7 linked regions of the Rattus norvegicus genome follow. The protein of the gene in region 2 interacts with the protein of the main gene of each other region in a pairwise test. Links are inferred from orthologs where the notes say so. Each region holds a gene or a part of one and is shown on either strand. Other genes may lie near its edges. The genes, in order: Klhl12, Flna, Myoz1, Casr, Adamtsl4, Pelo and Hspb7.

What was found.
Region 1: the proteins of Flna (region 2) and Klhl12 interact in binary tests that used the Homo sapiens proteins (3 or more experiments, as listed by UniProt). The two-hybrid records come from large-scale screens. The link is inferred for Rattus norvegicus from reciprocal best matches to the Homo sapiens genes FLNA and KLHL12.
Region 3: the proteins of Flna (region 2) and Myoz1 interact in binary tests that used the Homo sapiens proteins (3 or more experiments, as listed by UniProt). The link is inferred for Rattus norvegicus from reciprocal best matches to the Homo sapiens genes FLNA and MYOZ1.
Region 4: the proteins of Flna (region 2) and Casr interact in a two-hybrid assay, tested with the Homo sapiens proteins (2 studies listed by BioGRID). The link is inferred for Rattus norvegicus from reciprocal best matches to the Homo sapiens genes FLNA and CASR.
Region 5: the proteins of Flna (region 2) and Adamtsl4 interact in binary tests that used the Homo sapiens proteins (3 or more experiments, as listed by UniProt). The link is inferred for Rattus norvegicus from reciprocal best matches to the Homo sapiens genes FLNA and ADAMTSL4.
Region 6: the proteins of Flna (region 2) and Pelo interact in binary tests that used the Homo sapiens proteins (3 or more experiments, as listed by UniProt). The link is inferred for Rattus norvegicus from reciprocal best matches to the Homo sapiens genes FLNA and PELO.
Region 7: the proteins of Flna (region 2) and Hspb7 interact in binary tests that used the Homo sapiens proteins (3 or more experiments, as listed by UniProt). The two-hybrid records come from large-scale screens. The link is inferred for Rattus norvegicus from reciprocal best matches to the Homo sapiens genes FLNA and HSPB7.

The regions. Positions count from the first base shown.
Region 1 is NC_086031.1:48,468,765-48,472,264, forward strand, and holds part of Klhl12 (kelch-like protein 12), read left to right. Parts: intron 1-2,000; coding exon 2,001-2,115; intron 2,116-3,500. UniProt on the Homo sapiens protein: Substrate-specific adapter of a BCR (BTB-CUL3-RBX1) E3 ubiquitin ligase complex that acts as a negative regulator of Wnt signaling pathway and ER-Golgi transport.
Region 2 is NC_086039.1:157,168,844-157,172,343, forward strand, and holds part of Flna (filamin-A), read right to left. Parts: coding exon 3,492-3,500; intron 2,969-3,491; coding exon 2,371-2,968; intron 2,283-2,370; coding exon 2,109-2,282; intron 2,026-2,108; coding exon 1,863-2,025; intron 1,783-1,862; coding exon 1,622-1,782; intron 1,534-1,621; coding exon 1,363-1,533; intron 1,048-1,362; coding exon 924-1,047; intron 841-923; coding exon 684-840; intron 88-683; coding exon 1-87. UniProt on the Homo sapiens protein: Promotes orthogonal branching of actin filaments and links actin filaments to membrane glycoproteins. Anchors various transmembrane proteins to the actin cytoskeleton and serves as a scaffold for a wide range of cytoplasmic signaling proteins.
Region 3 is NC_086033.1:3,692,390-3,696,412, reverse strand, and holds the start of Myoz1 (myozenin-1), read right to left. Parts: upstream 2,801-4,023; 5' UTR 2,737-2,800; intron 1,685-2,736; exon of another isoform or gene 1,664-1,684; 5' UTR 1,646-1,663; coding exon 1,573-1,645; intron 8-1,572; coding exon 1-7. UniProt on the Homo sapiens protein: Myozenins may serve as intracellular binding proteins involved in linking Z-disk proteins such as alpha-actinin, gamma-filamin, TCAP/telethonin, LDB3/ZASP and localizing calcineurin signaling to the sarcomere.
Region 4 is NC_086029.1:77,803,114-77,806,613, reverse strand, and holds part of Casr (extracellular calcium-sensing receptor precursor), read right to left. Parts: intron 3,409-3,500; coding exon 3,178-3,408; intron 937-3,177; coding exon 813-936; intron 1-812. UniProt on the Homo sapiens protein: G-protein-coupled receptor that senses changes in the extracellular concentration of calcium ions and plays a key role in maintaining calcium homeostasis.
Region 5 is NC_086020.1:185,929,297-185,932,796, forward strand, and holds part of Adamtsl4 (ADAMTS-like protein 4 precursor), read right to left. Parts: intron 3,287-3,500; coding exon 2,949-3,286; intron 2,816-2,948; coding exon 2,218-2,815; intron 2,001-2,217; coding exon 1,898-2,000; intron 1,106-1,897; coding exon 969-1,105; intron 583-968; coding exon 378-582; intron 201-377; coding exon 28-200; intron 1-27. UniProt on the Homo sapiens protein: Positive regulation of apoptosis. May facilitate FBN1 microfibril biogenesis.
Region 6 is NC_086020.1:48,530,402-48,534,074, forward strand, and holds Pelo (protein pelota homolog), read right to left. Parts: upstream 2,270-3,673; 5' UTR 2,115-2,269; coding exon 1,389-2,114; intron 1,099-1,388; coding exon 667-1,098; 3' UTR 501-666; downstream 1-500. UniProt on the Homo sapiens protein: Component of the Pelota-HBS1L complex, a complex that recognizes stalled ribosomes and triggers the No-Go Decay (NGD) pathway.
Region 7 is NC_086023.1:159,009,379-159,013,558, reverse strand, and holds the start of Hspb7 (heat shock protein beta-7), read right to left. Parts: upstream 2,801-4,180; 5' UTR 2,732-2,800; coding exon 2,536-2,731; intron 2,041-2,535; coding exon 1,907-2,040; intron 684-1,906; coding exon 504-683; 3' UTR 1-503.

The sequences.
Region 1 (3,500 bases), on a different chromosome or scaffold from region 2:
GCGTATCAAGAGTTCAAGGCCACCCTAGATTGTATGAGACCCTGTCTCAAACAAGTAAACAAATATTGGAACACCCTCCCCCCCAATTAAAAAAAATTCAGGCTAATTAATGTCACATCTCAAACTCATTTTCCCCTTCTTTCTTAAGCCTTCTATTGGTTAGTTTTCTTGTTGCTGTGATAAAATACCCCACAAAAGCAACTTAAGGAAGAAAGGGTTTATCTTGGTTCACAGTTGAAAGTTATAGTTCATCCTGAAGAAGTCATGGCAGAAAACCCATGAAGCTGTGGGTCATGTGTACCACAGTCAGGAGGCGGAGAGAAAAGCTGGTGCCCGCTGAGCTTTTCCCCTTGGTTAGGTGTGGGTCATCTTCCTAAGGAAAGTTTGATTTAGGGTTTCAGCCTCCAGATCCTAGCTCCAGATCTCTATACCAAAATATAATGTAAAGATTGACACAAAGGGCGTGAAGATGAGCTTCACTATCAGCAGACTGATTTGGGAAACACACCAACTGGTCTGTCTGTGAGGGGGGATTCTGAAAGGTTTAACTCAAGTGGTAAGGCCTGCCCTTAATGTAGGCCACACTATACCACTGGCTAGGGACCCACATGGTTGCCAGTATTCATATGCAGAAGCTTTTAGAGATGTGTGTACAGCAGTGGTTGCTACTGTTGTATATTTCCAATGCATACTAAAAACTTCTTGGAGTCAAACTACTAAAACTGTGAGTTGAAGATCCCAACAGGAAGCAGATGGTACAGTTCTAAGGAAGGCTTACTGTATATATAAAGAGCTGCTTACAAACTTATTCATTTGGAGAAACTGTAAAAGACCATGGAGACTATAGCTCTAGAACAGCCAAGCTGTCACCAGCCCTCAGTCTAGCCGAGCTAAGAAGTGGGTATCAGAGCCTGAAGGGAAAGTGTAGGCCTTGACATGCCTGCCTTTGGGCAGAGCTCCTCCCAGCTAGGAGCCATTTGGAGACCTTACTGGCACGGTGTATAGGGACTGTTTTTCTAAACTAGAGAGCAAAGTACAGTGTGGAGGTAGACACTAATACAGAGATGTATTTTCTATGTAGGTATATGTGTATATGTGCACATAGGCATGCACATGTAGACCAGAGGTCAGTCTTTGGTGCTGTTCCTCAGACCATCCACCTTGGCTTTTGAGATGCAGTCTCTTATTGACTGGCCTGGAGTTTCTGATTGGGCTGGCAACAAGCCCAAGGATATGCCTGTCTATCCACTAGTAGGGGCATTACAAGTATAGGCTACCTTGTCTAGCTTTTTTTTTTTTTTTTTTTTTTTGGTTCTTTTTTTCGGAGCTGGGGACCGAACCCAGGGCCTTGCACTTCCTAGGTAAGCGCTCTACCACTGAGCTAAATCCCCAGCCCCCTTGTCTAGCTTTTTATGTGGTTTCTTGTGACAGAACTTGGGTCATCGTGTTTACATGGGAGGACTTTTACCAAAGTGGGCCATTTCTCCCACCCATCTAGAGCACCATTGGATATAGATGTGAGAGCTGGGCTAATGGTGAATGCATTCCTATAACACAGAACTTGGGAGATAAATGCAGAAACACCAGATGTTAAAACTTATCCTATGCCCTGTTGTAAGTTTGAGATCAACCTGGGCTACCGGGGAACCTGTCGCAGAGAAAGGATGAAGTGGGTTGGGGAGCAAAGGAAGGAAGGAGAGAGATAGCTTTGGGGAAATTATTTTGGAGAAGACAATTTTTCCAAGAGAGAGAGAACATGTGTCTTGTCTTTTTGAGACAGTGTCTCCCTCTAGATCAGCCTGGCCCAGAAGTCACTATGTAGCCTTGAGTTGGCCTGAAGTCTCAGAAATCCTCCAAGTCCTGGAGCTGGGATGTGAAGCCAGCTCCCTCAGGATTCGTACTAGTCCTTACATGCTTTTGTCTGCATACACAACTTTCTGCTTTATATGCGCCATTGTTATTACAACGTTAGAGATGCCTGGTCCCCTTCTGTCTTTTAGCCTTTTATCCGCTGTAGTTTACAGTGCAGGGACCTAGTTGATGAAGCCAAGAAGTTTCACCTGAGGCCTGAACTTCGGAGTCAGATGCAAGGACCCAGGACAAGAGCCCGACTAGGTAAGCTGGTATTCCTGGCAGAATGGAGGTGTCTTTTTTTTTTTTTTTTTTTTTTTTTGGTTCTTTTTTTCGGAGCTGGGGACCGAACCCAGGGCCTTGCGCTTCCTAGGCAAGCGCTCTACCACTGAGCTAAATCCCCAACCCCTGGAGGTGTCTTTCTACTCCTTTTTCAGACAGTGTGATATCTGTAATACATACAGTAGACTTGTTTTCAGACCTGATTTTAATCTCCTTAGGCAAGTAGCTGCCATTTTAAGCTTTTATTTCCTGTAGTCTTTATGGCACATAGCTATTAGAGATTCAGTTAGATAAAGAGAAAACCATCTTACAAATTATCATATATTATGTAGCATCAGATTTCTACCTCAGCGTTTACATAAAGGGCTTGGAGCTGGAATGTAGCTCGGTTGTTAGTGCTTCCCTATCCCTGAGTTCAAGCCTCAGCACAACAGAAATGGTGGTAAATGCCTGCAATTAGGAGGTAGAGACAGGAAGAGTAAGTTCATCCTTGGGCACATAAACAGTCAGAAGCCAGCATGATAAACTGTCTCAAACAAACACAGTCCTAAAACTACAGGGCTTCTGACAGTCACATATCAAGGGTAAAATCCTGACTATGAGGCCAGAGTTGTGGTACAGATTTCTGGTTTACTCCTTACCTTAGGCAGGAAATTTACTCTGTCTGCTGATGCTTTATCTGTGACCTGGGAATCAACTTCACATCCAGCTCTAAGAAGGTTATGACAATTAGATGAAGAAGGCTAGGAAAAGGCTAGGAATAGCTACTGTCACATAAGTGCTGCCTATGTTAGCAAACAGAGAGAGGTTCAATCTAAGCCCTGCCAGTGGTGATCGGCGATAACAATTTATCTGATCCTAACTGGATAGGACAGAGCACTAATCCCAGCACTCAGGAGGCCTAGTCAGGTTGATCTCTGTGAGTTCAAGAGTAGCCTGGTCCAGATGGTGAGTTCCAAAGCATCCAGGGCTAAATAGTAGACCCTGTCTCCAATGACTGACTCACTCTCTCTCTCTCTCTCTCTCTCTCTCTCTATATATATATATATATATATATATATATATATATATATATATATATATATAAATACTTATTTGATCCTATGCTTTTACCCCTAAAATGAGGCTTAGTTTCTTCTGAGTGGGTTTTTGGGAGGACTGAATTGGAGCACAGATAAGATACCTAGCTGGCACAGAGTAAATATCGGCTATTTTTATCTTGTTCCCTGTTACTTCTCTGACAAGAGAGCCTCCCTGTGACTGTGTACAGCTGTTTTGTAGATTATCATTTATGAAGTATATATGAAGTGGTACTTCATTTGCTTTTATTTTTTTAAGAATTTATTTATTTTTATTATATATGTTTC
Region 2 (3,500 bases):
GCCTGTCACATCTGGCACATAGGCCACTGTGTATGTGCCATCATGATTATCTTGGATGTGTGTCTTCTTGGGCTTGCCTTCAGGGTCCTATGAGGCAAAGAGCAGGCAAGGAAGTTGGTCCAAGCCTAGCAAGACCTGGACTATCTCAGGCCTTTCACAAATACGTCAAGTACTAGTATAACAGCGATATATAACAGGGATACAGCTTCTGGGCCCTTCATCCCTCATGGCCCCAGTGGCTGCCTGCCTGTGGCAGAGAGCAGAACTGAAGCCCCCCAAAATCCAGCATTCTCTGACAAGACAAGAGATATGACCAGTTTGGTGCCCAGGCTCAGCCCTGGGCCTATCCTAGGGCACTATGAGCTTATATGAAAGATCTCAAGTGTTGCAACATTATACCTGTTCTGTGAGAATATTGCATGTAGGGAATCTGAAGGGCTACAGGTTTTAATACCATACCTAATAGCAATGAATGTATGTTTAGGAAAGCTTGTTTCTTTCAACTTGAAGAAAATTGTACACATCCTAATGTAGTTACATTAACAGACCAGAAGCAGAGGCCCTGTCCTTAGAGCACAGCTCCAGACAGACTAGTTAGCAAAACTGAGCTGCCTGCCTATCTGTAGTCCTACATCCCAGCTGCCCAGACCTGGTTCCTTTCCTCTCTTCCCTAGGAAGCTCACCGTAATCTGGACAGCCAACAGACCCTCCCCAGCATCCTTGGCATCAATGGTGAACTCCACAGGCAGGCTGGCAGGCACACCAGTGGTGTTGAGTCCAGGTCCACTGGCCTTCACCTTACTGGCATCATGCGTGGGCAGCACCTTGACCTTGAAGGGGCTGTGAGATTAAGGGGTTATGAACCATCGGAAAAGCTTAAGTATGTAGTCTGCCCCCAACAAGCAAGTGAATGTGCTTCTTACCTCCGTGGCACTTCTTCTTCACCATACAGCACAGAAATGCTATAGGACCCTTCTCGGCTGGGCACATAGTTGACAGTCTGAGTACCATCAGCATTGTCCACTACATCCACTGGCTCCACCAGGCCTAGCCCCGGTCCCAAAGACAGACCCTTAGGTTGGCTCTTTGTACCCATTCCCACCCCCATCTCCCTGAAGGACTAGGGCTGGCCCCAAAGACTAGACCTTAAGTTTTTAACACCCAATTCTAGGAATTCCTTAGGCTTTCCCCCGTGCTATATCTAGTCAGTGGTCAAGTCCTGTCTACTATACCTTTTCTAGGGTTCTGCCTGATTTTGTGGTTACCTGAAACCCTTCTACTATCAGTGCTAACCCACATGCTACTGGGCCTAAAATAAATATGCCTCTATAACTCCCTGTTACCAGGTATGTGAAGTCTCACCTTTGGGCCCCTGTACTTTGACCTGCAGTGGGGCAACTCCGGCTTTGCTTGTGTCTACCTGAAAGGACTGAGGGAGGTTGGCACGGACCATGCCTGGGCTTAAGCCAGGTCCAGAACACTTGACTTTAGATGCATCTGTCACATCATGTACAGGAACCTTGAAGGGGCTACCTGGGGATTGATACAGAAGGATGATAGCTATGTAAGACACTGTGAATATGGCAGAGTCCTAGTTTCATCCTTGTCATCATCTTCTCACCTGGCACTTGGTGACCACCATAAGTGACGTTAAGGCTATAGGTTCCAGCTTCATAGGGGATGTATTCTACCGAGCAGCTGCCATCTTTATTATCCATACAAGACATCTTGGCCTCTGAGGGACCCTCAACAGCCAAGCCCAGGCCACCTGTGCCAGCTCCCCTGGTCCAAACAGACAGTCTGTCATTACTTAGGGTTCCCAAGCCCATTGCCTGCCCCTGCATCTTCAGTGGCTCACTCACCTAGTCTCTACTGTGAACTTGTTGGGTTTGTTGGTGGTACCACTTTGGATGCCTGGCCCATGGACACGCACCCGGGAGGGGTCACAGCCCTCTGTTACAGGCACCTGGAAGGGGCTGCTGGGTACAGGGCTGCCATCATAAGTCACATCCACGGAGTGTACTCCTGGAGGGCAGGACAGGTCAGGAAAAACTAGGCTTTTCCACTTATTCCCTGCCCTTCCTAAGGTACCCCCAGCACATTCATACCTTCCTCATATGGAGTATATTCCACTTTGTATGTGCCATCACCACAGTCTTGCACATAGGTATCTGTCAGATTGCCTGAGGGGTTGGCCACACGGGCCTTGACATGTGGCCCTCCAGTCTGTGTAAGAGCCCGGGCATCTACACTGAACTCAGTGGTTGCCTCTCGGAAGACACCTGGAAAAGGCCATAGCGAGGGGGCTGTGGCTGTAGGACTCTTTGCACCCTGTAACTGCTACCCACCCCCTACAGCAGGTCTCCTTACCTTGACCTTCAATCCCAGGCCCATAGCACTGTACGCCTGAGGTATCTACAGCAGGCTCCACCTGTAGCTTGCTGGGGAAGTTGGGCACAGGCTGGCCACCATACTTGATGGTAACAGTGTAAGCCCCAGGACAAAGAGGAATATAGGTAATGGTGTGTGTGCCATCACCATGGTCCTGAATGTATACTTCAGCTGGCAGTCCTGCCTCAGAGCAGATCTCAATCGTCAACTCGGCACTGCCAGCACTTGAGCAGTCTACTTGGAACTGCCCTACCTCACCAGCAGTAGCCCGCTCCAGCCCAGGGCCTGAGCACTTCACCTTGGATGCATCAAAACAAGGAACCACATGGGCCTTGAATGGGGATCCAGGAATGTGGGTGTCAGCAAAAAGGATGTTGATGTTGTAGTCCCCAGGCTCAGTGGGCACATAAGACACAGAGCATGTACCGTCCCCATTGTCCAGGCACTCAAGCTGTGCTTCACAGGGGCCTTCCACTGTCAGGCCCAGGCCACCAGTGCCAGCTCCCTTTGTATCAATGGTGAAGCGGGCAGGGGAGCCTGCATTGCCCCCCTGCAGCCCTGGTCCAAATGCCTTCACCTGAGGGAAGGAAGAAATAAGAAAGCAACTATCAGCCCAACCTTTCATATCTTCTTTTGCCCTAGGTTTCTTCCTTACCCAGAGACATGACAGGAATAGGCTGCCTAATAGGTCATCCACTCATCAATCATAAAAATAGAAATGACAAAGGTTCAGGAAAAATCTGGAGAAGATAGGGGACCCTAAGAAAGGAAAATAGGCTAGTCATGACGGTGCAAGCCTTTAATTCCACCCAGTAGAAGCACATGGATCTCTGTGATTTTGAGGTCCACCAGGTTTATAGAGTGAGTTCCAAGACAGCCAGGGCTAAAAGAGAGAGAGACAGAGACAGAGACAGAGACACAGAGACAGACAGAGACACAGAGGAGAGGACAGGGGAGGGGAGGGGAGGGGAAGGAAGGGAGGAAAGACGAGAAGAGGGGAGGAGAGGAGAGGACAGGAGAGGAGAAGAGAAGGGAAGGGAAGGGAACAGAGAAGAGAAGAAAAATGGGTCCTCCCCTTATAGCCTCCCAAAACTAATTACCTTGCTGGG
Region 3 (4,023 bases), on a different chromosome or scaffold from region 2:
CGACCGCCTTATCCAGGAGGTAGAGAAGAGGAGACAGAAAGAAGAAATGAAGGCTTTCTGGACTGGGAAGGGAAGCGCCACCCACCCACAGCTAAGTGTATTCTAAAAGAGATTAATTCGGGCACAGGGCTGTCTGGCTTACAAGTTTTTGTTTGTCTTGTGTGTCTTTTAAAAGATTTTTCAGAGATCTAGTTATGTTTAATATGTATGAGTGTTTTCTTTGCATGTATGTATGTGCACCATGTGCATGTCTGGTACTCACAGAAGTGAGAGGAGCACTCAGATCCCCTGGACCTAGAGTTACAGATGGTTGTGAGCCACCGTGTGGGTGCTAGGAACTGAATCTGGGTCGTCTGCAAGAGCAGCAAGTGATGTTAACCACGGAGTAATCTCACCATCGTGTGCGTGCGTGCGTGCGTGCGTGCGTGCGTGCGTGCGTGCGTGTGTGTGTGTGTATGTGTGTTTGAGACAAGGTCTCACTTTGTAGCACTGACTATTGGTATTCTGTCTAAGCTCCACCCCCACAGTTGCCTGGCAACAGCCAGCTGTGTTTGACACTATATAAGGGGCTGCTTGCCCCCCTCCTCCTTCTCTTTGCTCTTCTCTTCTCTGCTCTCTTTTCCTCTTCCCCTTTGTTCCTTCTCTCCCCATTCCCCTCCCCTCTTCCCTCCTGGTGCTCATGGCCGGCCTTTACTTCTCCCCTCTTCTACTCTTCTCTCATTAAACCTCTCCATGTGGAACCATGTTGATTTGGTCTACCCCAACACGGACTGGCCTAGAACTCACAAAGATTTCCTCGCCCTCGCCCCCGCCCCGCCCCCATCTCCTGAGTGCTAGGCATGCACCACCCTACACAGCCCATGAGAAGTGCTTTTGTTTTAATTTCATAAGAAGTTTTGATTTCATGGTTTAGAGTGAGAACTCAAGGGGACAAAGGGAACCATATATAGTGTTTGAATACTCGAGTGGAGAAAGAACACGGCCAAGGGGCATGGGCTTGGAGTGAAGGAGAACAAGTGAAGAGAACACCACAGACAGTGGCCATTGGAGGAATTACACCGGCCAGGGAAAGCCCATCTCTAAACGCAGATCCTTGTCCTCTCCTTTCTCTCTTTATTCAGTGAACTCTGACTCCTGAGGTATCAGGAGAACTTCACACTTGGTAACTCGTGTGCATCCCCAGGGAGTAGGGCTGTGCAGTTTCCTATTTTAAATGCTTACATAAGTTCCCTCGAACTTAGAAAGGAAAGAGGAGTTAACCATTCAGTGAGGCCTAGCCTGTGCCTCCCACAGGTTCACTGACCATGGGTCCTGTCCTGAATCTCAGCCCGGTGTTGTCTCCGAGTAATCAGTGGGAAGGCCTGGAGGCCACAGAGGGAATTCTGGTTCTTCCTGTCTCTTCCTCCTTGCTCTTCTTACCTCTCCCATCACCCCATCTCCCACACCCTCCACAGCTGCCATTCTTCTTGTCTTTTTCACTCTGACTTATAACCGGTCTTACATCATTTCTGCAGCTCTTGATTCAGGGATGCTCTTAAAAATCCTACATTTGGGCGCTCAAGCACGCCCTACCTCCAGTGAGCTCCATAATCAGTTTGCTTGACTTCCTCCTCTTGTTAGGGGCCGGGGTTCCCGAGAGCGGCATGGTGGAGGGGGATTTGACCTGGAAGGAGCAGGAAGCAGGCTTGAAAAAAGACAGGAAAGGGGAAAACAAGCATGTTCACTACAGTGAACTACTTAACTTGGGGTCGAGGACAAATTTTCTTCAGAGTTTTTCCCATGTGTTCATGTTTGCATGCGTGCATGTGTTTTCACAGTGATCTGTATCCCCAGAAGGTAAACGGCCAAGACTTCTGTTTTCTTTGGAAGCAGGACAGGAGGCGGAACTGCACCCCTTTCCTTACGTCTTACCGACCGGCTATGTTCGCTTTCCATAACTCCTGTATGGGCATCGGAAACACAGCTATGGCCGAAGGGGGTTCAAATACAACACTGGCAAAGCAATGCACTCAGGCTTCTTGGGCCTGGCATGATTTAAAGTCCTTGTTTGTGTTGGGATAGCAGGCTACAACTATGGCTCCAGACTCTGGTCTCCTGCTCAGGCTTCCATCAAGGTCTAAGGGGGTAGAGAAATGTTCTGCTAGTATTGAGGAGACTCAGCCAAACCCTTCTCCATAGGAAGGAGAAGCTGTTCTTCCAGGAAGCCAACTGGAACATGGCCCGAGAGGTCATGGGTGTGTTCCTTGCTTCTTCAGGCAACTCCTACCCCAAGCTGCAGAGCTGGGCCTGAGAGCAAGCTGAGGGCGTTTGAGCTGGGACAGATGTCAGCTCAGCAATATCATGCATGGGGGTAGAGAATTGTAGGAGGACAGAAACACAGGAATGAGATCTGGCTGTGGGTGGGGACAAGGTAGAAAAAGACACACAGTCCAGTCTCTCCCTAACAGTCCTGCTGTTTTCTGTGGTGTTCTGTCACACAAACACAACGACACTCTACCAACCTAGTGGCATCTCAAACTACCCCTCCCCATCTGTCAGGTACCTCCCCACACATCTTAATTCCTCCCAACTCCTCAGGTCCCTTTCTTTCCAACTCTGCAGCTCCAACTGGACCACCAGCAGCTGAGCAGAGATGAGAAGAGAGACCACTCCCTGAGGACGAAGAATCACGATTGCAAACATGGAGGTCACAAAAGTGGGCTCCAGCCCCTTCCTGTGGTAGAACCACAGACTTACCAGCCTCTCAGTTGGTGGTCAGCTCTCCCTGGGGTCCAGCAGCTTTGGATGACTGAGCTGCTGTGACTGGAGAACCTGAGCTGGGCAAGCGTAGGGGCAGCCCTGGCAGTGGGGGAGGGAGGGAGGGAGGGGGGTGGTTATTAATAGAGTCGATGAGCACAAGCAGCTCAAATGGCACAAACGGGGGCACTGAGACCCTGAGCCGGGATCCTGCCCTCCTTGCCTGAGGTTCAGGAAGAGGGAAGGCCTATGAAAATTCCCAGCAGACCGTCTGACCAGGGTTCAGTCAGCCGAAGCGGTGTGCTTCTTCCCCTTTGCCTTGAGATCCAAAGAAGCATCTCAGGAGGCAATGGACAGCAGAGGCAGAAAGAAAGGGAGCAGACAGTTAGTGCTGGGTAAGAATTAAGAGTAGGTATAGGGAAAAACAAAAAACGAAACAGAAAACATGATTTGTGGGCCACTCAGGCCATTCCAGACCGGGGCTGGAGGGACCCATGAGTGTATTCAGAGCTGGGAGGGATTGAGGCCCTACACTGAAGATAAGATGGAAATTTTCACAGCGGCATTGCTTCTAAACTTCCCGAATAGGTCGACTTTCTGTCTGAGAGCGTTAGATCTTGACCTGGTGAGGGGCCACCTTAGTCAACCCCAGTGCAGATGATGTGATGGAAGCCTATTAACCCCACTCCTTGTCTTTCCTCTCAGTACAGCTGTTCTCAACATGCGGGGCCTGACCTTCTAGGGCTGGACAACCCTTTCACAGGGTCAGATATCAGATATTTACATTACAATTCATAACAGTAGCAAAATAAGTTAGGAGGTAGCAACAAAATAATTTTATGGGGCTGGAGAGATGGCTCAGTGGGTTAAGAGCACTTACTGCTCTTCCAGAGGTTCTGAGTTCAATTCCCAGCAAGGACATGGTGGCTCACAACCATCTGTAATGGGGTCTGATACCCTCTTCTGGTGTGTCTCAAAACAGCTACAGTGGGCTGGAGAGATGGCTCAGCGGTTAAGAGCACTGTGTGGTCTTCCAAAGGTCCTGAGTTCAAATCCCAGTAACCACATGGTGGCTCACAACCATCTATAATGAGATCTGGTGCCCTCTTCTGGTATTCTTAATCAAATAAATAAATAAATCTTAAAAAAAAACCCAGCTACAGTGTACTTATATAAATTAAATAATTATAAAAAGAATTTTTAACTATGCCAGGCATGGTGGTGCATACCTTTAATCCCAACACTTGAGAGGTAGAGACAGTGGATCCCTGAGTTCCAGGCTAGCCT
Region 4 (3,500 bases), on a different chromosome or scaffold from region 2:
TTCTCGGGGAAAAACACAAGCTGGCAGTTTGGAGCTGAATGAGACAGGACAGACACTGGTGGAGCTAGCCACAGGGTGATTGGCTGATGGGAGAGCAATCTCAGAGCAATGGCTTGGCAAGCTAGCCTGGATAAAGAGATAACCAGGTGAAGTATGGGCTGGCAGGCTAGGAAGCTCGCAGGTGCATGGCCCTGAGGAAGGACCTAGTGTGATTTTAAAATTACACGCAACATACATACATACAGGCAAGTAAAACACTCACACACATGAATAAACAACAAACAAACAAATGAGCTTGAAACCCAGGAAAAACATCAAAGAGAGGGGGGAGGGAGGGAGGGAGGGAAGGAAGAAGGGAGAGAGAGAGAGAGAGAGAGAGAGAGGGAGGGAGGGAGGGAGGGAGAGAGAGAGAGAGAGAGAGAGAGAGAGAGAGAGAGAGAGAGCGCATATAACACCAGGCACCAGCAGGCAATCTGTCACAGCCTTGACTCTGGAGTCCTGAAGTCAGAGCAGATGGCACACTGTCCACTTAGAGCCATGGAGCTTTAAAATAGGGACACACTATTGGGTGGCAGGGTTGGAGGCAGAGAAAAGAGTATCACATGAATGTCTATAAACACCTGGAATATCAAAACAATATCCGGTGAGGCCTTTCTCATCATCTCCTGCTCAGTGGATGCAGTACTTAAGCATGCTTTCCCTAGAAGGTCAGTGGTTCTAAGTACCAGCTCTGTCCAGCTTTCCCATGGACTTTGCTGATCTCCAAGGCAGCCCAAGTCCTGCACAGGGACTGTGAGGGGCTGATCCTTTACCTGTCTCTCCACTGTACTCTCCATCAGGACACTCCACACACTCAAAGCAGCAGGTGGGCTCTCCCTCGATGATCCCCTTCCTGGTCCCTGCCTGACAGTCCCGGCTGCAATTGGAGAAAGGCACCTGAGGGCAGAGAACATAGAAATGAGAGGTTTGGGACTGGGGTGTCAAGAGTCAGTCTTACAGCTTCTTTGACACAGGCAAAGTGAGGAGTTTGAGTATAAGAATCAGTGTGGCTAGCTCTGGGCTAGTCCAGATATAGAGAGAGCCAGGCTTCTTGGTCCTGTTCCTTAAAAGCAAAAGGTGGTAAGGCCAAGTGTGGACGTACTTGACAGTTTGGTTCAAACTCAAACCATGCAAAGTCCTAGATTTCACTTGATCTCAGTAGCAACTTCATGAGATTTGTGAATAAATTGTTAATATATAATTAATAAACATACATGGTATTTTTGTAGTTGCTCCCACAACTTTTTCAGAAGTCAGTTTGACTCCCGGGTTTGTTGGATACCTATTTGTGTGCTAGCTTTTCAGATCACGTTCCCATCAAGAATTGAAATGTAATTTATAATTCTGTCAAGTAGTCAGGGACATGAATGACTGCATGTGTAAGGACTGTCTTTATCACACGTTTACTAATCTGTCATGCCCACTGCCTGATAGAGGACGTTAGGATTACAGGGAACTGTACAGGAAATAGCTTCCAAGGAGGAAGGGAGATGAGCCACGCCCAGTGACGGATAATTGCGTGCATTACTGAGGACACGTGATAAGCTGATAGCACCATAGCTGTGTGCCAGTGATGGGATCGCCAGTCAGTTTGGGCTCCATTCATTTGAAAAGTAAACAAAGATGTAGTTAGTGGATGTAAGAGTTTAACCTGTGGAATCTCAAACCTCCATTCTGAAAAGGTCATGACACATGTTGTAATGGAGGTGAGGACTTGCCCATTGTGGATGAGATTCACTGTCACAGGAGACCTCCCCATGGTGAAGCCATCCCACAGACTGGGAAAATTAAGCAATTTGGCAATAAGAACAAGCTGACTCTTTGGTTTTTTGTCATAAAAAGAGGTTCACAACCCTCAGCAGAAAGGCACTGCAAAGAGTAATGTAGTGGATCTCAGCCAGACTCCTAGGATGTTGTAGAGGATGCCTGGTCCCGAGGCTGCTTCTGCAGAGGAGCCAGGGTGCCGCATCTTGCTCTATTCTAGTAGCCTCATTTTATCTTTGTTGCTGTGAGAAACACCAGAACCAAAAATAACCTGAGGAGGAAATGGTTCCTTTCCTTTAGGCTGCAGTCCATTGCCAGGGAAAGCCAGGGCAGGAACTTGAGGCAGGAAGTGAAGCAGAGGCCATAGAGGGATGCTGTTTATTGGCTTGCTCCCCCTGGCTTGCTCAGCTTGCTTTTTTTATGCAACTCAAGTCTACCTTCCCAAGGGTGGCAACAGCTATATTGGCAGGTAATTCCTTCATCAATCATTAAATCAAAAATGCTTCATGGACTTAAACGCAAGTGAATCTGATGGGGCTTTTTTTTTTTTTTTTCAAATTGAGGGTTCCTTTTTTTCCCAGATGATACTACCTGGGCCAACTTGACAAAAGAAAACCTAAGCAGTATATTAGCATACAGCCACCCAGAAAGTTCAGCGTACCCTATGTCTTTCTCAGTGAGCATCCTCTGAGTGGTGAACTTCTGGTTATTAGTCAGGCTTTCAGATATGGGCAGGACCTCCTGACCAGAGTCACAAGCATCTTCCCCTTGGTTAAGGGGCTCCCAAAGTAGAAGGAATGGCCCTTTCGATTTCTATATGGGTCAGCCTGTAGCTATTTCAATGTCCTTGGTCTGAATCCAGGTCTATTTTGGGCTCACATCCCTACATGACTAATGGAGATTGGGGTGGATGGAAAATGCTATAAAAGATTGTCTAATGCATGCTGGGTATTTAGCCTCCCTGAACCTCAAGCAATGAAGGTCATTATTACTTCCGGGTCATTGTGACAACCTAAAAAGCAGTCCCTTTTATCTCAAACTTGAATCTCCTATACAAGGTGGGTAAAATGTCTCCTTCAGTGTCATTTAAGAGCCACTGACTTGAGAGATGTTTGCTTAAATATTTTTGCCATGGTTGGGGAAGTTTATTGTCTGGGAAACTTTATGACTAGCCAGGGAGTCAAAAGCATGGTTAGTTATGAAGCCTAGCCTCCGGGGCTTCCTCTCATCACTTAAACACTCTTGTAGTTCATGGGAACCCTGGACACCCAGAGCTGGGGAGCTTAGGAAAAGACATTATCCTAAAGGCCTTTGATGAATCCCAAGACCCTCCCAAGCCAGCAGTTCCCTGTCTGTAGTACATTTTGCTCATACCTCTCTGGAGAACCCACTCCACAAGATCTTCTCCTCATTGATGAAGAGTCTTTCTCCCTTCTTGGCATACACATTGTAGTACCCAACTTCCTTGAACACAATGGAGCCGTCCTCTGGGGAGAGGTGCCAGTTGATGATAGAATAGTTCCCCACCAGATCACCACACTCATCGAAGGTCACCTGCTCCCCCATGTTGTTGGTGAAGTTCAGGTGCCGTAGGTGCTTCAAGACCTGAAGAAGACAAGGATAAATCTATAGGAGCCATGGATGGCTACTTGTGGCTTTGTTGGCAGTGTACTGTGAATATCTCATTCCAGGGAAGA
Region 5 (3,500 bases), on a different chromosome or scaffold from region 2:
CCACTCCAGCTCCTGTCCCAGGCTCACATAGACATCCACAGGCTGGGTGGTAGGGCCTTCTGCTGACAGAGTCTCCCCCTTGCCCTCCTCCCGAGGAGGACGGTTATACTGGAAGACGGTCCCGACGGCCGCGTAGGATCCTGGAGGATCTACAGCCCAGTTCCCATTGATAATGGAGCGGCCACCAGGCCCTCGAAGTGCTGAAAGACAGAAATCTGAGCTGAGTGATCTTCCGAAGCCTTTGTGTCCAGAAATAAGGACCTAGGCCACCCACCTTCCTCACCCTCCACCAGCCCCTTCCTGCTTGGCCCTTTGCTCGGCTGAAGAGGGTGTAGAAGGCAGATCAGAGAAAAAGGATGGCCTGGGCCAGTTCTCACCAAGGTAATTGGAACTGGGTCGGAACTGGGAAATGCGAAGATGGGAGGCTCCCGCAGGAATCCACAGGATCTTCTGATAGCCCAAGGGGCCCCCTCGGTCAGTGAGATTCCCCGAAACGAGACGGCAGGTAGAGCCGTCACCCCCACAGACTCCACAGCCATCCGGACGCCTGCCAGAGCCAAGGATCCCATCACAGCCGGGGCTCTGAGGAGAGTGAGGTGAGGCAGGGGCCACACAGAAGCCAGGCACACCTCACACCTGGCCTACTCCACTCAGGGCCCTCAGCTCGGCCCCTGCTCGGCTCTTTGTGCTTTGGGTGAGAGTGTTCTTTGGGCCCCCAAGCACTTTTGGAGTAGTTTTAGCCGAGTCTGGTAGGATCCTGCCTATGACCCACCCTTACTGGCAGCAGAGATGTTCCCTCTGGCCACCTCAGTCAGGTGTTTTCACTCTTGTAACAAATTGGGGGGAGGGGCGATCTCGAGAGTGTGTGAGGGAAGGTGCACATATACAAACCTGCCCTCCCTCACCAACACCCTGCCCTCCCTCACCAACACCCTGCCCTCCCTCACCAACACCCTGCCCTCCCTTACCAGGCAGTGTCCAGCCACACAAATGTCTAGGGATCCAGGCTGACACAGGGTCCCATCCTGCACCTTTTCAGTGTGACGGACATAAAATCGGAAGCCACGGGGGCGGCAGTTCAGTTCACAGCGCTGGGAGCCTTGAACTAAAGGACAAGATATAGATTAATTAGCTGGGGGTCCCTCCGGGAAGAAGCACCCCAGAGCCCTGACAGCCATTCTACCTTTTATCATGTGTGAGGCTTCCTGAAGTTGGTGTGGAAGGAGGGAGGGGGAGTTTCCCACGCTTAGGGTTTTATGGCTTATATCTTTGTTATGCTGTGTAGTCTCGAGTTTACGATTTGACTAAGTCTCCCATTTCATTCTCCTAAAAAGGGAAAGTTTTGCACCTGGCCATCAAGAAAAGATTCTTGTGGTTTTGTTTTAGGTGTGTATAGGATTGGGGTGCTCACGTGAGAGAAGGAGGTCACCTTGCAGGAGTGGGTTCTCTCCTCCTACCATGGGTTCTGGAGACCAAACTCGGGTCATCCGTCAGGCTTGAGGCAAGCCCCTCTACCCACTGAGCCATCCTACCACTCCTCAAAAGGGTCTCCGACACCTACGATCATAGGCTCATAGCTCATGAAGGTTTGTCAGTGTGGAGTTGACATAGCCACAAGTCCAAGTGGACAGTAACTTGGGAGTAACAGAAGATAGTGTCCTGCTGGGACCAGTGAACAGGTCTCACTCATGCCCTGCCAGATCACAGCATCTTTTAGCCAGCTCCCTCCGCCAGCCTGCTGCCTGTCCTGACCATCCACCCATCGCTTCCCAGAAAACAGCTCCCTTCTCTAGGTCTGGGCTAAGCCTCTGGGGTGACCTGCAAAGTAGGACACCCAGGAGGGAGAGAGGGGCCACCCAAACCTGAGTCGCCCTGCCAGGGGAACTAGAAACTGCACCTTCGGTGAAGGGCTCCCACTGGTACAGCTGGCCCATGAATTCCTGGGAGTCAAAGGCGGCACACTGCAGGGCCCTGGGGTCTGGCTGCTCAGGGGGGCAAGGCTGAGAAGGCAGATATACAGGAGTCAGAGCTGCAGAGGAAACCTGGGGTGTGGGCCATGGCCAACGAGGCTTGGGAACTGGTTGGTCAACTCCATAGAACACCAAGGCGTCTGCCCTGAAGTCAGAACCACCACCCTGGAGTCCAAGTCTATCAAGATGAGGACTCGGGTCAGGGAACAGTGAAAGTCTAGGGTGCAAAACCTGGAGAACAGCTCACCTCTTGGCTGCAGGCTCTCATCTGTTCACTTTCCCCAGAACATTCTGGAGTGGGGCTACTGGGAGCAAAGAGGCTCCAGTGTGGGCTGGAGTCCCTTGTCAGAGGCAGCCAGCCATCTGGGGACCTGTGAGGACTCCCCGGAGGTCTCCAGTGCCTCCGGCTCAGCTGGCTCCGGGTGACAGGAGAGAAAGGATGTGGCTGTCGCTCTGCTCCCTGGGAAGTTGGCATTCGTGGCTCAGGGGATCCCTGGAAAGACCTACTGTCTCTAAAGGAGGAAGTGGGTGCAGGGATACCCATGTCGGAGGGAGCAGAACTGGTTCTGGAGGGCACTTCTGTCTGAGCAGTTCCAGACCTTGGAGTTTCAGCTGAGGGGGAACGGGATTGGGCACGCAGTTCAGGGGGCTGCATGTGGGGGCTGTGCTTTTCAGAGGCTGGTTCTGTGCTTGGAGGCTGGGATGGAAGTGTCTCTTCCGCTGTAGAGGAGTCCTTGGGCTGTCCAGGTTTGTGAGCAAGCCTGCGGCTCCGGTGCAGGGGCAAAGCAAAGGGCACTCGCCCGTAACCGAACATCCCTGGCTTGATAGGGTCTCGAACACGGAACCTGGGAGGATGTGTAGACTTAGTCACCTCTTCGCCTGTTTCCCCGGTCTGCTTCCTGAAAGACTGGCCTGCAGCGCTGGAGTCCCCTACACCTTTCTGTTAACCCCCATTCTGCTCTGCCCTCAGAGCCTCACCTCTGGGCCCCCCGAGGCTCCTGGGTCTCCTCTCTCCCCACTTGAGAAGCAGGACCTCGAAGAGGGCCACCCCTTCCCCGAGGCTGTGGCCTATACAGGGACTGGGGATCCCGTGGAGTCTGGGGTCTGGAACCCTGGCCCCGGGGCTGGGGGGCTTCTGGATGTCTTGGGGGTCGGGGAGGGAGGGACAGGGCTGGGTGCAGTTCACATGTTCGGCTCCGGCGCTGCACCCCCACCCCACAGGGCTGGGAGCAGGAGGCCCATCGGCCCCAAGGTCCCCAGAGACCCTCAGGGACCTGGTCCTCCTCTGATGGTGTCTGAAGAGAAGGACCCAACAGCTAGAGAGGGGAAAAGGTCAGAATTAGTGTCTCAAGGTTCAAGGGTTATTAGTTGTCCAAGGTCACATTTACAGGTAGGGTCAAACTCCAGCCTTTTTTGTGGTATTTGACTAAAAGAGAGGGAATCAGCAGGGAGACTGGGTGGGCCAAACCTGATACTAGGGGCTGAAGTCTCCCTGTGGGAATGTGAAGCCACCCCCAAGGGGAGGCCGGG
Region 6 (3,673 bases), on a different chromosome or scaffold from region 2:
CTTTGCCACTCATCGGCCACACAGTAAGCAAACCACACACTTTCACCTCATCTGTAAAGGCCTGAGACTATGCTGAGAATCCTAGTAGATCAAACCTCTACTGTTTGAAAAAAAAATTTCTCTACAGAAAATAGATTAGAACAACAAAGAGCAAGAAGCACATATTTAAAATGATGTTTAACAAATCTCTAAAAGAAAATAACATTTAGACTGGCTTTTGTTGACCGTTTGGCTACCACTTCAAGTAGTGAATGTAGTTAAAATCTTGGGGAAAAAAACCTAGAAAGAGGTGAGAGAAAGGATCATGAAATGAAAGGCAGAAATACCACATTGAATGGAAATAGACATCAAGAGAGATTTAAATCGTTTTCAGAGGAAAACCAAGTCAAGCAGGTATATGGGGTTTCGTAATCAAACCCCCAAACAGCTTTTCTTTCTTAGATCCACAAATTGTTGTTTCCAGGTATTGACAGAACAGTAACTGGAACTAGAAGACATAATGCTTGGACATCGTTGTGGTTTATTTAATTGGAATACATGTCCTGCCAACCAAACCATAAAACACTTCATGGGAACCCATCACACATGAAACCCCAGCAGGACCAACAAGTGCGGCCTTGCACTTGTCAAGGATGCTGTAGAAGAAGAAACTATTGAGTTTCCGTCTTAATCCTCTTCAGAACTTGAATCATCCTCTTGGTCAGAAAGTTCCGGCACAGGGAAGCGGAGAATGGCAGCTACTCCAGTCAGCTGACCAAGCTGTTCCCCAGACACGTGGAGACTGGAGAATATCCTTACGGTGCCCGCATTCTCTTTCACACTGTCCACCAGCCTGACATACCGGCTCCGGGTGGCCACATCCTGATGCCGGAAGAGCTCATCACTGATGAGCAAGGTGTCAATCGCCAAGGCTTCATTGGCCCTCTCCACCTGCTTGAGTCCATAGAATGCTCGGTCAGGTTCGTGCTGTAACATTTTGTAGAAGTCATCCAAGGCTTTTACTTCCCCGGCAGCTTTCGTGTCTGAAAGGCGGCTCGCTACAGTAGGATCACATAGGACCTCTTTCAGGGAGTACTTGTGTCCAGAGGAGGCGTGTACCTAGAAATCACAATTATAAAAGACAAAGAATCTCTGAAAGTATCCATTTATCAGCCCCCCCCCCCGATGACGTAAGGGAAACGCATGAATACAGCCTACCCTGTTTAAGGACTTAGGCAAAGGTTGCCTTATGAAAGTGCTAGGTACTGCACAGTTCCGTTCTCGTTACAATCTCATTTATATTCCCAGCTAAGCCTTCTATTCCTCACCATTCTAAATAAAACATTAGAACCAGAACCGTTTACAGCAACCCCTCTGCCCACTCTTAACTCTCTCCATAGGAGTTTTACCTGAAGGAATTTGGAGCGGTTTTCCAGGAGCACCTTGTTGTCGGTCTTCACAGCTTGTTGAAACATGTAATCGCAGAACTGCTCTCGCACAAATCCAGGGCTGGCCACCAGAATGCACTTTACAACCTCAAAGTTTATGTGGCGCTGGATGGCCTGGACCACTTGTTCATAGAACCGCTCCAAGGCCCGGTCATGCTGGGAACAGTTGCCTTTCCGTTTCCTGGGGATGTTCACCTCCACCTTGGCACGGGTAAGGGTCATGCTGGGCGTGACTAAGCAGACATGGGCGAGGCCCTCCTGCATGACCACAGCTGCCACATCAGCGCTCCAGGCCGGGTCACATGCCTGCTCGATGCGTTCCAGAACCACACTGTCCCACTGTTTCTTGGCCAGGGTGAACTGGCGGTTGGGCTCCAGTTCGATGGTGTGGTAAGCCCCCATCTTGACATACTCATTCTCTTGAATATTGGTGCCCTTAACCCGCAGCTGGCAGGCCTGGGAGTCGAAGTCGATGGCCTCCACGCAAAGAGTGAGGGTGGTGCGGACACGGTTGCTCCCCACGCTGCCTGTGGAGGACTCGGTCTGGACCTTACGGATGGTGGAGGCGCGCAGGCTGTCGCCCACCTGCACTAGATTGTAGGTGTGCCACATGTCCTCGGGCTCCTCCGGGACGAGGGTGACCTGGCCCGCATTGTCCTTCTCGATATCTTTCCTCACAAGCTTCATGACCGCGGCAGGGGCTCACTTCAGAATAGGAGGCGCTTGGAAGCCCCCAGGCGGGAGGGGGCGGGGCAGGGAAGGGGCGGTGAGTTCAGACCGGAAGGAAACACTACCTCTGACTCCTGTAGCCCGGGACGGCGCTTCCCCCACGCCTTTTCTCCGTTTTCGCGCGCCGGCCCACGCGGCGCGGCAGACCTCACGCTCAGCACAGACAACTCAGGACTTCCAGTCGCGGGCCCCGCGCAAGAGGCTGACGCGACGATCGCGCAGGCGCAGCACGCCTCCCGGCGCACGTCTGTCACCGACCCTACCAGAGAGGCGGGGCCTGTGGGCTTGCGCGCGCGCGCGCTCACGCAGGCGCAGTAAACGGAAAGGCGAACCCTAGGTAAATGTCAAAGTAAGCGCCTCTGGCCGCCGCTCTTAAAAAGCTGAGCTTTTTCTCACACATCCCTGTGTGAGAGGACATACGGAGGACATGCGTGCGAACATGTGTATTTGAGCTGAGTTTGTGATTTTTCCACCCTGGGTGTGAAGCCAGCTTCAAAACTTATATGAAAGTGAAAAACGCCCGCCCAAAAGTGCAGACTTGCCTCCGAAGTCAAAAAACACGGCTTAGCCTTGCTTGCTCTTTTCCTACCCGCACTCGGACTGAATGACAAGCTTGTTGGCTCGGAGATATCCAGAAGTAGTTTCTAAGAATTAGTCCCGTTCAGCCTGGGCTCAGCAATATGTCCAGCTGTTTTCTGCGCCTCGTTACCCTGTTTGCACCATCCAGTTAACCCAGATGTTAAAGGACAGAGACCAGAGAGAGCAGAAACTATGCGTGGAATGTATCCCTGGTGGACCTCTGTGTAGTTTGACCTGGTTGATGTCCTGGGAATCCCAGAATCCAAAGTTGGCAGACTCAGCGCAGTAGTCTCTGGGGCGCTTAGTGTGGGAGCCGCATTGCAATAGATTAGCGTTGGATCTTCCCTGCCACTGATTGGCCAAAAGCTGAGGATGTGGGAAGTAAAGATAAACCGATCTAATATGACCATCTCCAAAGAAGAGCCACAGAATTGGTTGTAAAGGAAAAGAAAAAAAGAAAAGAAAAGAAAAACAAACAAAAAAATCCATTCCGTTCCCCCAACCCCCTTTGGTACAGTGGCGATTGAAATAAGAAGCCTCTTTCTAAAGGGGAGTCAGAGAAGTCCTGAACACACACTCTCACTACATTTTGTATACGGATCTTAAAGCAGAGCTCTTTAGCCTTAATTGATGAGAGGGAGGGCTAAAGGAGGGATTAATCATGTTAACTGATGTCAGGCATCTTTTTTAGAGGTTGGTGTGTGAGTGTGTGTGTGTGGGGTGTGTGCAACTTTACATGCTTTTTATCCTCCCCTCTCGCCCCCCCTCTCCCAACCCCCATCTAATTCACCATCTTCCTATCCCAGAGACCTGGAACTCACTTTGGTTTGTTCCCTCAAGGCCTTTCACCAAACCAGACACAGGTCTCACTAAAGCAAGAAGGTAGCTTCATAGGCTCTTAATGAATGCAAGCTTTTCCCCGGAGCACTATCAACGTT
Region 7 (4,180 bases), on a different chromosome or scaffold from region 2:
TGTCCCTGCTGGTACAAGTAGTTGTTAGAGGCTCAGGGTGACAGGTAGCCCTGGGTTTGAGGCTTCCAGAGTTACAAGGGAGGTGACAGTCATGGCTGTCTCTCTGCCTTCCCTGAGGCAGTCTGCATGGGCCAGAAGCACTGCTTGTGGCCAGTCTCTCATATTCCCCTTGCTGGGAGGGCCCCTGGTCCCCTGCCCTGCAGAAATGCCATTGATGCCACCCTGTGTTACGGACTCCGTCTTCATGTTGCTCCCCAAGTGGCTACCTCAGCCCCTCTATTGTAAACTAAGATAGGGAGGGCCTATCTGGGTGAGGGTAAGCGGGTCCCTGGATTGCCTTGGGTAGAGAGGACAGGGGTGACCCACCTGGGGCCTAAGAGTGTGTGGAGTGACTGGGGCCTAGGCTGAGATGTTCTGGGGGGGGCATTGTCAGGGGTCATGGCGACCTCACCAGCAGGCCAGTGGGGGAGGAGATGGGGGGAAGGCCAGGGGTGGGGAGACCCTCAGATTTTTATCTCCGTCCGGAAGGTCTGCTGGACATGTTCTGTGTGTGGGTGACGACGTGCTCGAATGGTGAGGCTGCCATCCTCCCTCAGGGCCGAGGTCACCGACGTAGGGTCCACATCCTCTGGTAGCTGGCACTTGTGAGCAAAGGTGTTCATGACTGTGCCATCAGCTGCCAGCTGGGGAACGGATAACAGGTCAGGAATGGCTGCCCTAGCCTTAGCCCCACCCTGGGTCCTGGTGATGCCAGAGTCTCTCTTTTGCTCTCTGTCCTCAGTTACCCCACTCTATGACGGGGGATTCAGCTTTCAGGCTCAAAAGATCTGACCAGGGGTGTTGGGATGGCCAGGAGCCAAGGGCTGTGCAGAGGCATTCTATGGGTCCCGAGGGAAGCTGGGTATAGAGTGGGGTTGGGTGGGGCTCAATAGGGGCTGAGTTGCTACAGCAGTGATTGGAAGTCTGGGACTCTCGAGCCATAGTGGGGAGATGACACAACTGTGCCCTCTGGATCCCCAGGCACCCTGAGTGTCCACCGACCAGGGCCGCCGCCCTCCCCTGCAGCCCAGTTAGCACATAGCGTCCAGTGGAGTCGACCGGCTGAGTCACTCTTGGGACGTGGGGCTGGCACGTGCAGCCAGTGGCTCAGTCCTCGAACCTCTGGCAGGGTTTCCCAGTGGCCAGCCTGAGTTAAGGGAGCCGGCCAGGCTTGGGGGTGGCAAGAAAGCTTTGGTAAATATCCTCTAAGAATCAGCACGGCTTGCCTAAGGGCTGTGGCAGCTGCTGTCTGTGCTGGCCATGCCTTCTCTGATGAGCTAGGCACCCTGAGATTCTGGTGAAGTACATGAGGTATAGGATGGATGTGACCCTCAGCCTCAGGCCCAGTATGGAGGTGCCAAGACAGGACCCACCCTTTTGGCTCTGGGATGAAGGCGAGGGAAAGATATGATAAGAATGGACCATGCTACCCAGGTTGGGTGTGTCATTGCCACCTCCTCTACCCTGTGTCAGGGAGCTGTTCTTACTCCACTGCGGTCACTTTCCACCTGGGTCACTCTCCTGGTCTCCTCACCCCCTTATGTCTCAATCACTTGGGTTCCTCTCTTGCCCACATCCCAAAGATCCCTCGCCCATCCCTAGTCGGCCCTTGGCTGCCATGCATGTCCCCCAAAGACAGGTCCTGTGAACCTTAGGTTGGAGAGGGATGTGTAAAGGTCCCTGACCTTCAAGCCCACAGGGACAGGGCTGCAGTTTGCCCTGGGTGAGTACGACAGGGAAGGAACACACATCAGGGTATGAATTCTTGAAAAGACAGGTGACAAGTAGGGCGGGCAGAACCAGCTAGACTATCAGATTGCAGGAGCGAAGGTGGGGGACTCTGGGGTGAGCCAGGGGCCAGACTCACCTTCTCAGCCCGCACCTCGATGTGGTTGTTGGAGGTGGTGACAATGATGTCTTCAGGGGAGAAGTCTCTCATGTCCACAGTAAACTCGTAGGCATCCCCGAGAGTCTTGATGTTTCCTTGTCCCCCGGGACGGGCTGTGGACAAGGCTGCTTTGTAAGTTGGTCACCTAGCAAGCCTGACCCTCAGACCCCCCGGATCTCTGCTCGTCTCTTGGGGAAATGAGTGGTTCTCCCAGACAGCAGCCCCTCTTGTAGCCTACCTTGTCCCTGAGGGATGGAGTGAGGTGGTCTATGCATACGAGTCCCTCCTTTAGCAATTTAGACCTAGACCTGGAAGCTCTGAGGGGCCAGTCGCCCCTCAGTCCCAGCACCAACCTCCTGGGTTCCCGTTATGATACTGGCCATGTGGGACTGTTTGAATCACATCTCATCCCTAGGGTCCCAGGTGGCCCACCTGTTTCCCAGTCACATCTGTCTTGGTAGCCAGGTCTGTCTTGGCAGCCACATGTGGCTGTAACCCATGCAGCACCTATTCCTGGTAGGTGGGTGGCCACAGTATGCTCAGTAATGGCCTGGAGCAGACGTCCCTCACCTGTGCCCCTCCTCTCCCCTCAGAGCCCCAGCACTTGCCTGGGAAGGTCAGGGGCTCCGAGTGGGGCAGCATGAAACTGCCAAAGTCCTCTGAAAACATGCTCAAGGCCTTCTCCATGGGTGGGTCCTGGGCTGGAAGGGCACGGGAGGCCGAAGAAGAGGAGGAGGAGGAGGAAGAAGAGGAGGAACGGAAGCTCCTCTCCGCTCTGAAGGCGGAGGAGGTCCGATGGCTCATCCACAGGCAGCAGGGGCCCTGTCCGGGCGGGCAGGGGCTGGGCTGGAGAAACGTGTGGGTGCAGGCCTCCAGAGAAGCGTGCCGGGGCCCCTGACTGCCAGCGCTTTATAAGGCCCAACTGTCCCTGGGCTCGAGGCCAGCCCCTTGTCTGCTGGCTAAATTTAGGCCTCTTCATGGCCCAGAGGGGCCTGGAAATCTTCTTGGGAGAAACGGCTCTGCTGACAGCCTGACACAGGAGGGCAGGGTTGGAGGGCTGAGCTCACTGCCTGGCACTCCAAGCCCAGAGCTCCAGCCCCACGGGCCTCTGTACCTGCCAAAGCAGGGGGTGGATCCTGCCCTGTGCCTGCCCCTAGGTCTTTGTGGTTTGTCCCTCACTAGTCTGGGACCCTACTCTCCTCTCAAACTGGTTCTCAGGGCCTGCACCTCCCTTATTAGACTCATGAGGAGAGGGTGTGTACATACAGGCACCCTGCGGGGCTCCGTGGAGCTCCAGGTTCAGCTATCTCTTAGGGAAGGTTGAGAAAGCCAAGGGAAGGGAGATAGAACGTGTGGGTGACCCCTGTCAACTGCCACAAGGACTGGTGATTCTTTACCTCATCCCTACTCTCGGGGCCATAACTGGCAGAATAAAAGAGAGCTAGCATCTGGAGTTGGGGCTGTGGGGCACGGGGTTGGGCCCAGCTTCAGAGAAAGAGCAGATACATCCGTAACTGTCTTTAAAGGCTGAGAGGCTAAGTTGCCGGTAACAGTCTGCTCTACCTCAAGTTCAGAGCTGCTGCCTGCCTAGAGTCCTAGTCACGTGACTTTATATTCAGGTAAAGGAAAACGCTGACAGGTGTCTTAGCTCTGGCTTCCAGGGTGTCTCTGGCCACTGCTGACCCTTCCAGGCAGAACTGTCTTTGATCTTCCACAGCTCAAAAAAGACCAAGTTCCCAGACCAAGAAATGTGGCCTCTTAGGAAAGGAAGGGCTGAACCTAACTATGTCGGAATGACTGGGATTCCATCCAGATGTGCCAGACCCTTGTGTCCAAGAATCTCCTTTCTTCTCATTGCCTATGAGTAGAAGCCCAGACTCTGTGGTGCTGGGCAGGACAGAAGCCAGGGGAGGCTCTTTCAGAAGGGGAACTGGCCTCAGCCCATGAAGTGGTTTTGGAACACACTCCTCTAAATCTTCACCTTCCCAAAGAACCACCACCACTTCCTCCTCCTCTTCCTCCTCCTCTTCCTCCTCCTCCTCTTCCTCCTCTTCCTCTTCCTCCTCTTCTTCCTCCTTCTTCTCTCTCTCTCTCTCTCTCTCTCTCTCTCTCTCTTCTCCTCCCCCCTCCCCTATGGAAGCCTCTGTTTGTTCCAGCCCACACAGGGCTCCTTCTGCCCCCCTGGCAGAGTTTTTGTGAGTTTTGAGACCTCTCTGTGATTTCCCTCATCCCTAATCCTGAGGAGGTTCACAT